Linked DNA regions of Neurospora crassa OR74A. The protein of the gene in region 1 interacts with the protein of each later gene in a pairwise test. Links are inferred from orthologs where the notes say so. Each region holds a gene or a part of one and is shown in the gene's direction. Other genes may lie near its edges. The genes, in order: cot-1, pp-2 and NCU09740.

What was found.
Region 2: the proteins of cot-1 (region 1) and pp-2 interact in a two-hybrid assay, tested with the Schizosaccharomyces pombe proteins (2 studies listed by BioGRID). The link is inferred for Neurospora crassa OR74A from reciprocal best matches to the Schizosaccharomyces pombe genes orb6 and skb1.
Region 3: the proteins of cot-1 (region 1) and NCU09740 interact in a two-hybrid assay, tested with the Schizosaccharomyces pombe proteins (2 studies listed by BioGRID). The link is inferred for Neurospora crassa OR74A from reciprocal best matches to the Schizosaccharomyces pombe genes orb6 and mor2.

Annotation. Positions count from the first base shown.
Region 1 is NC_026504.1:4,484,417-4,488,553, reverse strand, and holds the start of cot-1 (serine/threonine-protein kinase orb6), read left to right. Parts: upstream 1-1,232; 5' UTR 1,233-1,869; coding exon 1,870-2,057; intron 2,058-2,135; coding exon 2,136-2,456; intron 2,457-2,523; coding exon 2,524-3,021; intron 3,022-3,080; coding exon 3,081-3,557; intron 3,558-3,615; coding exon 3,616-3,928; 3' UTR 3,929-4,137. UniProt on the Schizosaccharomyces pombe protein: Interacts with pak1/shk1 and coordinates cell morphogenesis with the cell cycle. It is essential for maintenance of cell polarity and is involved in mitotic control.
Region 2 is NC_026502.1:2,954,819-2,959,210, reverse strand, and holds the start of pp-2 (protein arginine N-methyltransferase HSL7), read left to right. Parts: upstream 1-1,510; 5' UTR 1,511-1,808; coding exon 1,809-1,943; intron 1,944-2,016; exon of another isoform or gene 2,017-2,026; coding exon 2,027-4,105; intron 4,106-4,211; coding exon 4,212-4,392. Other genes in the region: NCU01612 (pre-mRNA splicing factor ATP-dependent RNA helicase PRP43), read right to left, coding at 1-795. UniProt on the Schizosaccharomyces pombe protein: S-adenosyl-L-methionine-dependent protein-arginine N-methyltransferase that can catalyze both the mono- and symmetric (type II) dimethylation of the guanidino nitrogens of arginine residues in target proteins.
Region 3 is NC_026504.1:1,962,748-1,966,312, forward strand, and holds part of NCU09740 (cell morphogenesis protein), read left to right. Parts: coding exon 1-3,565. UniProt on the Schizosaccharomyces pombe protein: Required for the maintenance of cell polarity. Has a role in localizing F-actin at the cell tips.

The DNA of each region.
Region 1 (4,137 bases):
GGGTGGTTCTCGCGGGGGGCGTCACAGTTGGAAGACAACTTGAAGAGGACGACGGGATTCCGTAACGATTGTACGGACTACGGACAGCGACTCCGTAGGAGCTCCGTTGAGGACCTTGGGGCCGGTGCAGCGGAGCACCCGACTGCCAAAATTCCCGGACACACTTTCTTATCGCGATAAGCCGATAAGCCATTCCCGCGGCGGCACCCACCTGCATCTTTCATCGCGTTTAGTGGTTGTGCACGGGCCATATGCGAAGGTCAACCGCACGTCATGCCAGTGACACTTGAATTAACTTTTAGTGTATAAATGCAGACCACGCAGACTTGGAACGGCCCAAGATTTTATCTTGAGAGTTCCAAGATAGTCTCATGTCTGGACTTTACTCTCATAAGTTGGGGAATTTAGTCAGCCCTATTGAAGCAGGTTCCATCTTTCTGAGCCAGAACTATAGGTTCTAAAAGCGTCTGCAAAGGGTACCTGAGCTTGTATAAGTCGGGCTACCTGTTCCGTGTTCTTACTTTCCCTGGATTCTCTGCTGAAGCATCGTAGAGGATGTCTCTACAGTAGACAATTGTATACTCGGTCGTGGCGACTTGGGCTTCATGTGCTGTCAGCGATCATGATGACCTCTTGCGTGATCAATGGGCACAACTGTTCCGAGACGCTGCAACCCCTGAAAGAACAGGAGCACCCAGGGAAGATGCGGTGTCGATGGCGCTAAGCGTGTTCACCCCACCTTCAGCTCCACCAGGATGCCCCTTCGATCAATTGCAGACCCGGGAGTGCCCGCTCCCAGCCAGTAACAAATTCCCGGACCAGAGTCTCGATGCTCTCGAGGTCCAATGCCGTTGCGTCGAGCTTCAACACTCGGGGGACTGGTGGTTTACCTATAGTGTGCTTGTGAGGCACGAGAAGATGGCAGCAGTGCGGAACAGACAGCAACGAGTTGACGTCTGACGATGAGGTTGGAGTCAGGGGTTTTCAGGTTGACCAGGGCACCCCATAGTTAGGTGGTCCTGTTTCGGCCTGGAGCTCACCACTGGACCTGGGCATGTCATCCCAAACATGGAACCCCTCTTTCTACGACCTCCTTATTCCTGGGCATCGTGTACTAGATTCACATCGAGGCCAGCTTCCTGTGGCAACAGAAAACGGAAACGTAAAGATGCTCCTAGTTGTCTGTTGTTATTCAAGGTGTCCTTTGAATGCGCCCGTGGCTGTCTCATATCATCACAGTCTATGTCTTGGTCACTTATAGATGGGATCTGTTAGGTTCCATGTCACCTCTATACGTCTAGGTCTTTATTTATACTGATACCGCAGGGACCCTGCCCCACCTGCTTCCCTTCCGTTTGTCTGATTCGTCCGTACCTAGGTTCTCCGAATTACAGCGCCCTGAATCGCCTCCAGCCAGTGCTCTCCTGTCAGACTCCTTCCTGTAGGTAGGCTGGAGAGGCTCACGTCGGTCACGCTTCCACTTTGCTTCCACTTCCACACTGCGCCTATCGACTGCACGTTCCAGCGGGACACTTCCACTTCGGACGGTGCCACTCAACCACCTGCCCCCCCAGCCTGGCCGCCCTCGATTCCCATCCCTACCATCTACAGTAGCCAACCGTCGTTCGATCCTCGTTGGACCCTGGTCCCAAGAAAAAGCAACCTCCTTTCCTCCCGTCTCCCCATACCTATCCCGTCTTGTACACAAACCCCTTTCTGTGCGCATAGATCCCATCGATCGGTCTGGGAGCTCGACTCTGATCGTTTCTCCATCTGCCGTCCCTCGGAATCTCGTCTGAGCTCGCTTGCGCCCTTCCCGCTACATACACCCGGAATCCACTGTTTACCGTTTAGAGACAAGGTACCAAGATGGACAACACCAACCGCCCCCATCTCAACCTGGGCACCAACGATACCCGCATGGCTCCAAACGATCGTACCTATCCCACCACCCCGTCCACCTTCCCCCAACCCGTCTTCCCAGGTCAACAAGCCGGTGGTTCCCAGCAGTACAACCAGGCCTACGCCCAGTCCGGCAACTACTATCAACAGAACCAGTATGCCAGCCACTACGCCCCTCCTGGTGCCGCCGACTACGGCTTCGTTCAAGCTCATTCTAACATTGACGGTACTAGCAACGACCCCAACACTGGTCTCGCCCACCAGTTCGCCCATCAGAACATTGGCAGCGCCGGAAGAGCCTCTCCCTACGGTTCTCGTGGCCCATCTCCCGCTCAACGCCCTCGCACATCCGGAAACTCTGGCCAGCAGCAAACCTACGGCAACTATCTGAGCGCCCCGATGCCTTCGAATACCCAGACCGAGTTCGCTCCCGCTCCCGAGCGGAACCCCGACAAATATGGCCCCAATGCCAACAACAACCAGAAGAAGTGCTCACAGCTGGCCTCTGACTTCTTTAAGGACAGCGTCAAGCGCGCCAGGGAGCGCAACCAGAGGTGAATGCTGCAGCGATGCGCTTTTGCCCCTACATCCCGCCGTGATCGGTGCTGACACCCTTTTCAGACAGAGCGAGATGGAGCAGAAGCTCGGTGAGACCAACGATGCCCGCCGTCGCGAATCGATCTGGTCAACCGCTGGCCGGAAGGAGGGCCAGTATTTGCGCTTCCTGAGAACCAAGGACAAGCCCGAGAACTACCAGACCATCAAGATCATCGGCAAGGGCGCTTTCGGCGAGGTCAAGCTCGTGCAGAAGAAGGCCGACGGCAAGGTTTACGCCATGAAGTCGCTTATCAAGACGGAAATGTTCAAGAAGGACCAGCTTGCCCACGTCCGAGCAGAAAGAGATATCTTGGCCGAGTCGGACAGCCCATGGGTTGTCAAGCTCTACACCACCTTCCAGGATGCGAACTTCCTTTACATGCTCATGGAGTTCTTGCCCGGTGGTGACTTGATGACCATGCTGATCAAATACGAAATCTTCTCGGAGGATATTACCCGTTTCTACATTGCCGAAATCGTCTTGGCTATCGACGCGGTCCATAAGCTGGGCTTCATTCACAGGTAAGCTTCGCCGGAAGCAATGCTCTGGAAAAGAGATACTGACACGGTTGTGCATGCAGAGATATTAAGCCAGACAACATCCTTCTTGATAGGGGTGGTCATGTCAAGCTTACAGATTTCGGTCTCTCTACCGGCTTCCACAAGCTCCATGATAACAACTACTACACACAACTGCTCCAGGGCAAATCCAACAAGCCGCGCGACAACCGCAACTCGGTTGCTATTGACCAAATCAACCTGACGGTCAGCAACCGTGCACAGATCAATGACTGGAGACGCTCCAGACGTTTGATGGCCTACTCGACCGTCGGTACACCAGATTATATTGCTCCGGAAATCTTCACTGGCCATGGTTACTCGTTTGATTGCGATTGGTGGTCTTTGGGTACCATCATGTTCGAGTGCTTGGTCGGCTGGCCTCCTTTCTGCGCCGAGGATAGCCACGACACTTACCGCAAGATCGTGAACTGGAGGCACTCGCTTTACTTCCCGGATGACATCACCCTTGGTGTAGATGCCGAGAACCTTATCAGAAGGTATGCATGCTTTTGACTTCCCCCAAAATCACGCGCTCACCATATTGACTTGTCATAGCCTCATCTGCAACACTGAGAACCGTCTCGGCCGTGGTGGTGCTCACGAAATCAAGAGCCACGCCTTCTTCCGCGGCGTTGAGTTCGACAGCTTGCGTCGCATCCGTGCGCCCTTCGAGCCCCGTCTTACATCCGCCATCGATACCACATACTTCCCTACGGACGAGATTGACCAGACGGATAACGCCACGCTGCTCAAGGCTCAGCAGGCCGCTAGGGGCGCCGCTGCCCCTGCGCAGCAGGAGGAGAGCCCAGAACTCAGCTTGCCTTTCATTGGATACACGTTCAAGCGTTTCGACAACAACTTCCGATAATTGCGTTACGTCTTCTCGCTGTCTGAATAATGAGCGTTGGTTTTCTTGGGGGGGAGGAAGGGGGCGTAATAGTGATGGCGAAAGGGAGAAGAGGTTGTGCTGCGGGGCGGCAGTATCTGGGTACCCCTTATACTTGGCTTTGACGTCTTTGCTAGCTCGCGGTGCTGTTGAAATTTCTGATGGCAGAGACACTTTGCTGATAGTACGCG
Region 2 (4,392 bases), on another chromosome or scaffold:
CTTTTGGGCATCGAGCGTGGCAGACATGACAATGATCTTGAGGTCTGACCTGCGGGCGGCGATCTGCTTGAGCAGGGCCATGAGGATATCGGTCGCGAGGGTACGTTCGTGGGCTTCATCGAGAATGATGCAGCTGTAGCGGGACATGTCGTGGTCGTGCATGGACTCGCGCAGGAGCTGACCATCCGTCATGTACTTGAGCATGGTCTTGGGGCCGGTCCGGTTCTCGAAACGAATGCTGTAACCGACTTCCTGGCCCAGTTCGACATCCAACTCGTTCGCGACACGCTGGGCAACCGACATGGCCGCCACCCTTCGGGGCTGGGTACAGGCGATGAGCTTGCCGTTCGTGTGGGGGAGCTCGTCGTAGAGGACGTATTGGGGGATCTGGGTGGTCTTTCCGGAACCCGTCTCACCGACGAAGACGAGGATCTGGGTGTTGTGGTACATGTCGAGGAACTCCTGGCGCTGCTTGTGGACGGGGAGGTCGCGCCTCACTTTGAGGATGTCGAAGTATCTCTGCGAGTGCGGCTGGCCGGTCCACGGGTTGAGCTCCGAGTCCTCGGCCTGGGCGGCCTGGGCGGCGGTGGTCTTGTGCCTCTCGAAGGCGTCGAGGGGCGATTCGAAGTCGCCATTGGTGCCGTTGCCGTTGCCGTCCTCGTTGAGATGGGCGAGGTAGGGGTTGTACTTTTCGGGGGCAGCATCGCCATTCTCGGCACGCTTGATGCGCTTTGAGTCCTGGTCGTTGCCGTCCATGTTGGATCTCTTGACGCCTTTGTCGTCGTGGCTGGCCATTGTGGTACCGACCGAGGGCAGCTGGCCTTTTTTTTATATCTTGTTTCTTCGAGCGAGAGGGGTGGGTACTAGGAAACAAAACAAGAAGACCGAACTGAAGGGGAAGAAGAGAAGCGGCGATAGGCAAAACAGAAGGCGGAGTGTCGATTATGGCACCTCCAGTGGCAGTGATGAACAACAGCGAAACAGAGTGGAGGGGAGGGCAGTGGGCAGGCATGCGAGGCTACAACTTTTTTTTTGTTTGATGTCAGGGCGATAGGTCAGACCTGGCCGGCAGTTCCTGGCCGCAGCGACTCTCGACCAATGAGGGGTCACAGTGATAAGCTTCAGTGGAGTAAGGAGTGTCTTTGGCAAGCGCTGATAAGCAAATCACTGTAGCATTGGACAGGACCCTGATGGGCACTAAGACGGTAATTTTCTACACTGTTCTGTAACTGTCAGGTTCACTCAGTTTGTTCCTGCTGCACGTGAAGAAGAAAAAAAAAAGAAAGAAAAAAAGAGGCAAAATGCAGGCAGGTTGATGAAGTTTGTGACATTGTGACATTGTGACATTGTGACTTTTGGCGCATTGGGTTTGTGTGCAATCTTTCTTTCACTCAGCTATTTCATTTTCCATGTACCTATCCATCTATACCCCTCCATACCTGTTTATTTCGAGTTGGTGACCGTTGAGGTTGGACTTTTTCCTCTGGTGCTTCTTCCCTGGAAATATCCACTGCCATGGGGTCAGTCCGTTTTGGGAAAAATAAAAAAAAAGTACCATCCAACTTTGATTTCAGTCTTTACAATTTTCCCTGTGATTGGGTCCGATACCTCATCAAAGTACAGCCTATACATTCTTCTACTGTATACAGGCCCCAGAGACTAGTATAGCTACCTTCTCCGTACCCCTCCCGCTGCTGTTCGTACCACCTCAAACCTAACCTGGACCATCGCGGGGTTATTTACTTCTAGTCTCGTCCACTCTCTTTCACTCACTCGGATTCACATAAAAGTCCAGTCACTCACTCATCATGTCTTCAAATCGCGGGTTTAACCCCGAGTCCGAGTCTTTCGAGCAACGGCCGCCCTTTTACATTGGCCAGCATGATGTCCAACGACATGAGTCGCCCACTGACAATCAGTACGGCCAGATCTTGGACAGTGGTGTAAGTCTTTCCTTACATTAAAGTAGGAAGAGAAAGAAGAACGAGCAACAGCATAAATTCTAACACACATGAGATGAGAATAGTTCAACTTTGTCACCACCCCCATCACCAACGAGCACTTTCACCAGCGCGTGATCGACTTGTACAAGAGCCATCTCCAAGAACGGGAACAGTGGGTCACCGAACGGGGACTCACTGACGCCCAAAAGGCCAACCCGTCGCTGCCACTTCCTACGGTTCCTACCTTGACTGACGACGATACATCCCTGTTTCCCAGCAGCTATGTTGGCTCGCTCATCGCCTATGCCAGCCCATGGATCGACCTCTGCTCTGCCGATCCCATCATCTCAGACATCTCCCGTCAGGTGCTGAACCTCGAGCTCGCCTACGCCAACTTCTGCGGCTCCAGGACCATCATTATCCCCGGCCCAAGACAGGACGATGGCCGTGCCGTTGCTCAGTATGCACGTGCCATTCAGGAGGCTCAGGAAGTCGGTGGTCGTGTGAATCTGGTCATTCACTTGCCCATGTACCGCGAGCCTGGTTTGGAGGAGGAGGCAGAGACGCTTTCTTCTCTCCTTGCTGGTGACGGTAGTAGCAGCTCCAACTCCAAGGAGACCGTCAAGACCGATGCTGCCAAGGGCACCGAGATCGATCTCTTCAGCACCTGGGACAGTTGGCACACCATCCGGACCGTCTGCAAGTACAGCGGTCGTCTGTTTGTTGCCCTGCGCATTCCCAAGCGGGTACCTGAAAAGGACCTGCAGGAGCGCTGGTTCTCCGAGCCGCTGCACTACCTGACCCTCGATAAGAAGATCTTCTCGCTGAACAAGGCCGGTCATCCTTCCCTTACCCGCCATCATCAGGACTTGATCAACCGTTATATGCGCCTCAAGAACCACCCGTGGCTAATCCTGATTAATGTCGGTCCGTCGACGGAAAGTCTCGTCGAGGCCCCCAGCAAGATGGAGGTTGACTTCCCTCCTTTGTCCGAGGCTAGCAAGGCAGTCAAGGAGAACCGCAAGCCGTATGCTCCTCCCTACAACGAGTACGTCGATTACATGAAGTACCTCGAGAGACACCAGCCCCCTTATTCGGCCATGGAAACTCCTTCGCTCGTCAGCTTCCAGGACTGGCTCCAGTCCCCTCTCCAGCCGCTCTCGGACAATCTCGAGTCGGCCACATACGAGGTCTTTGAGGGCGATCCGGTCAAGTACGATCAGTACGAAAAGGCCGTGGCCGAGGCCATGCTCGAATGGAAGAAGTACAACCGGCCCGTCTCCTCCGTGACGCCCGAGACGCCCGACGGCAAGGACCTGATCGTGGCCGTCGCCGGCGCCGGCCGCGGCCCCTTGGTTGCCCGCGTTCTCCGGGCCGCCGCATCCACCAACACTCCTATCCAGCTCTGGGCTCTGGAGAAGAACCAGAACGCCTACGTCTACCTCCTGCGCCGCAACAAGCGCGAGTGGAACAACTCGGTAACGGTGATCAAGACCGACATGCGCGAGTGGGAAGGTCCTCGCCTCGCAGCCAACCCGAACATCATCACCAAGCTCGACATTCTCGTGACTGAGCTCCTCGGTTCCTTCGGCGACAACGAGCTTTCCCCGGAATGCCTCGACGGCATTCAGCGGCACATTGCCCGCCCGCACGGCATCTCCATCCCCTACTCGTATACCGCCCATCTCTCCCCCATCGCGCACCCGCGCATCTTCGCCGACCTGTCCAACCGCGTCGTCAGCGACCCCAACGCCTTCGACATCCCCTGGGTGACACGTCTGTTCCAGCTCGCCTACGTTGCCCAAAAAGTGCCCAAGCACGGCCGGTTCCAGCAGGCCTGGGAGTTCGTGCACCCCGTCGAGGTGTCGCGGGCCGACGACTTTTCTGCCCAAAACGGGCGCGCGCGCAAGTATGTTACTCACGGCAGCGGCAGCATGTACGGCTCCAGCGGCATCAACGAGCATAATGCTCGGCACTGCCATTTGACGTTTGTCTGTCCCACGAGAGGTGTGATCCATGGTCTGGCGGGCTACTTCGAGAGCGTGCTGTACAAGCATCAGGAGGAGGGCAAGACGCCAGTAGAAATTAGTATCTTGCCAGATCAGATTGATCGGAAGAGCAAGGACATGATTTCCTGGTTCCCGATTTTCTTCCCTCTTAGGGTGAGTTTTTATCTCTTCTTCCTTCATTTCTTGTTTTTCTTGACTTTTCGCTCCTCGCTCCTGCTTTGGTGACGATTACTGACCCTGTTTCTTCGACGATACATAGCAACCCCTCTACTTCCCTCAGGACACCGAGCTAGAAGTCAGCATGTGGCGCCAGACCGACGACACCAGGGTGTGGTACGAGTGGATGGTTGAAGTGTATGCTTGGGTGGGTCCCAAGACCCGTATCAAGGTTGGCGCTTCTGAGATGCATAGCAGTCGTAAGGTTGCCTGCATTTTTGGTT
Region 3 (3,565 bases), about 2.5 Mb from region 1:
ATTCGGTGGACAGGCTGCCTTGGATGAAAAGTTCAAGGACGAAAAGTTCAATAGTCCTGGCCCCAAGACGCCCATGACAGACACTTTCAAGTTCTCTCGCCGTGATGATCAACAAAGCGCATACGAGCAGAAACAGGCATTCTATGAGTTGTTTCACGTCGCCGTTGAGGCTCTACCACGGTGTTTGTCGGTAGACATCCCCTTCAATACGCTGATCAACCTTCTGTGTACCGGAACCGCCCATGTCCAATCAAACATTGCGCGTTCATCGGCGCAGTCACTCAAGGCCATCGCTCGGCAGTCTCATGCCCAGCAAGTTACAATGGGGTTTGCCCGCTTTATTTTCAACTTCGACGACCGGTACTCGACCATGTCTGATGGTGGGATGTTGGGCCCAGGGCACATTGAAAAAACACTCATGCTTTATGTCGAGCTTCTTCACATCTGGATCGACGAGATCAGGCGAAAGACGAAAGATGCTGAGGCAGAGAGCGACGGACCCGGTGGGACTGACAAACGAGGCATCAAGCTTGACCTCTCGGGTATCTGGGCCGAGGTCGATCAAGTAGAAGCACATGGCTTATTTTTCCTATGTTCGCAGTCCCGGCGTGTGCGGTACTACGCAGTTACCGTTCTTCGCCTGATTACCGAATTTGACGCAGCTTTGCGGAAGACGAGCAACCACGAAGAGGAAAAAACTATGAGACTGATCGACATCCTGGAGAACGATTCGATGCAGGTCATGAGCTTCAATGATGACCACCTCTCGGTAGCTGAGCGCAGCAGATTGGAGCGAGGTTTGCAAAACTCGAACAGCCAAGGAGCCTTACTTGAGCTCTGTACCAGTGATGTGTCCTATGATACCACACTTTGGTTCAAGGTTTTCCCAAACTTTGTACGGATTGCATATGACAAGTGTCCATTCACAGTCACCATCGGCCGCGACCTTGTCTGCAACAGAATCCTGCAGCTCTACCAGGCGATAGTCATAATATCTGAGCCATCCGCAAGGATGTACTACGGATCTGATGGAAGCAACTCTCGAGTGGTTAGGACCCCAACCACGCAGCCCGAGGTGCTTGTTGAGCAGTTCAAGCTGTATCTCGTCTTTGCCTGTACGACGCTAGCAGACCCAGGCGGTGTTCAGTCGAGCTCGGCACAGAATGGTCAACACGGCCGGAAGGGTTCCAAAGCCTCTTCAACCGTTGACAAAATTGTGACGGCGCGAACATTGTTCAAGTATCTAAACCCCTTACTTGGGGCATCACTCAGCTCCGTCAGAGATGCTGCGGTTACTGCGATGGGCTCAATCAACATTCACATTTACCGCACCCTTCTGGAGGAACTATCGGGACACGTCTCCCGATGTAACGACGAAGCACGGGCACGAATCCAACCACACCAGCGCACCAACAGCAACCCAAGGCGTAACCGGAAGATGGATTTGGTGCGAACTGAAATCACTCACGTCTACAAGCTGACGGCACATTTCTTGAAACTACCAGAGGTGTATAATGACGAATGGATTCTGAATAATCTAGTCACTTATGCCAAAGACCTCAAGCTGTTCCTGATGGACGTTGAAGTCCAGATGGATTGGGAGTTCCAGAGGTTAAGGCGGCATTACTGTGGCCTCATGGAAGAGCTCTTCGAAGGCATCAACCGAACGAAAGACCCATCGCGCTGGATGACGTTTGAGTCCCGCAAGTCGGCTTTCACGCTAATGGAAGATTGGTGTGGCTTCTCACCCAACCAAGCGCAAATCTCCCAAAGGGAAGCTACCATGCGACAGTCGGTCATCAATGAGCAGGGTGCAGGCGAGCGTGGCAATGTGAGCGCCGCCATGGAAATCGAGAAAAGAAATTTGCGGACAGCTGCCCTCAGTGCCATGGCATCGCTTTGCGGAGGTCCTATTCGTGTGCTTACCGAGAGCGGCTCGTTTCTCTATTTCGACGCGCGCCGTATGCTGAACTGGATTGATGCGATCTTCAACGCGGAAAGCAATCGCATCAATCTCATCGGACGGCGGGCTCTCAAGAACCTCATCGTTCACAACCAGCAATATCCCGCTCTGTTGGATCATTGCATCTTGAAGTGCTATACGACCGAGGTCCCCAAGGTGTTGGCTAGTTACTTCACGGTTGTGGTAGAAGTGCTTTCGGAGCATGTCGACTACCCCTGTCCATTCTGGAAGCTCCTCGGTCTCTGCTTATTCACCTTGGGTAACGATCAAAGTGATATACGGTCCAAGTCGGCACAAGTCTTGCGCACAGTTGAAGAGCGGCAACAACCGGCGCGAAACTCCAAGATACAAGACTTTGATATCAGCATATCTGACAAAACCAAGGCTGTTTACAAACTTGCTCAGTTCGAAATATCCAAGCGACTGGCTAAACAACACACTGAGTTGGCATTTTACATCTTTTCCGAGTTTACTTACTACTTTAAGGAGGTAGGGTCAGTGGCCCAAAGGAACGTGGTTGCCATCATCCTTCCTTGGATTCAGTCAATCGAGCTGACCGTCGACCCCAATGGTGGTCCAACCGCACAATCATATGTGCTTCTTGCCAACCTCCTGGAAATCACCATCAAGTCGAGCGCAGCCTTGCACAACGAGGTCCAGGCACTCTGGCAGGCTCTGGCGACAGGTCCTCATCCGGGCAATGTGAGGCTGATTCTGGACTTCATCATGTCCATTTGCCTGGAACGACGGGAGCAAAATTTTGTTGAATATGCCAAGCAGATCGTGGTCTTCCTCGCTAGCACTAGCAGTGCCCCTGGAAACGAGGTGATAGAGTTTCTGCTCATGCAAATTACGCCAAAGTCCATGGTAACTAACGACAAACGAGAAGCCGTGCCGCCGCCGCCTGATATCAACACCTTGCCTTACTGTGCAGATCTCTCAGAGGTGCTCCCCATAGGGACAAAACAGGCTGGCTTCTCTCTAGGACAACTATCTTTGATACTGCTAGTTGATCTTATGGTGGCTCCAGCTTGCCTTGTTCCTGATAATGTGCCTGTGTTACTTCAGGTGGTCACGGTGCTATGGGATCACTACACTGCGCTTGTCCAAGAGCAAGCCCGTGAGATGCTGGTGCATCTTATCCACGAACTGGTTATTTCGAGACTCGATGACGACGTTCCCCAGTCCACAAGAGAAAGCATCGAAGGTCTGATCGATGCTATTCGCCGCCATGACCGGTCTGTAGTGTGGGGCTACGAAGATAGCAATGGCAATGTTGGCGCTCACGACAACAAGGTGCCCCCGAGCATGGAATATCTGACCGGCGAAATGGTCAAGACGTTCGAGATTACATTTCCCGGCATCAAAGAGAAGTGGGGCAGGCTCTCCCTGACTTGGGCAACATCTTGTCCAGTTAGACATCTTGCTTGTCGATCGTTTCAGATCTTCAGGTGCATCTTGACGTCTCTTGATCACTACATGCTAGGGGACATGATCGCCAGGCTCTGCAGTACTATTTCTGACGAGGATACTGAACTTCAGAAATTCTCAATGGAAGTGCTGACGACTTTAAAGACACTCGTGGCAAAGTTGGATGCCGAC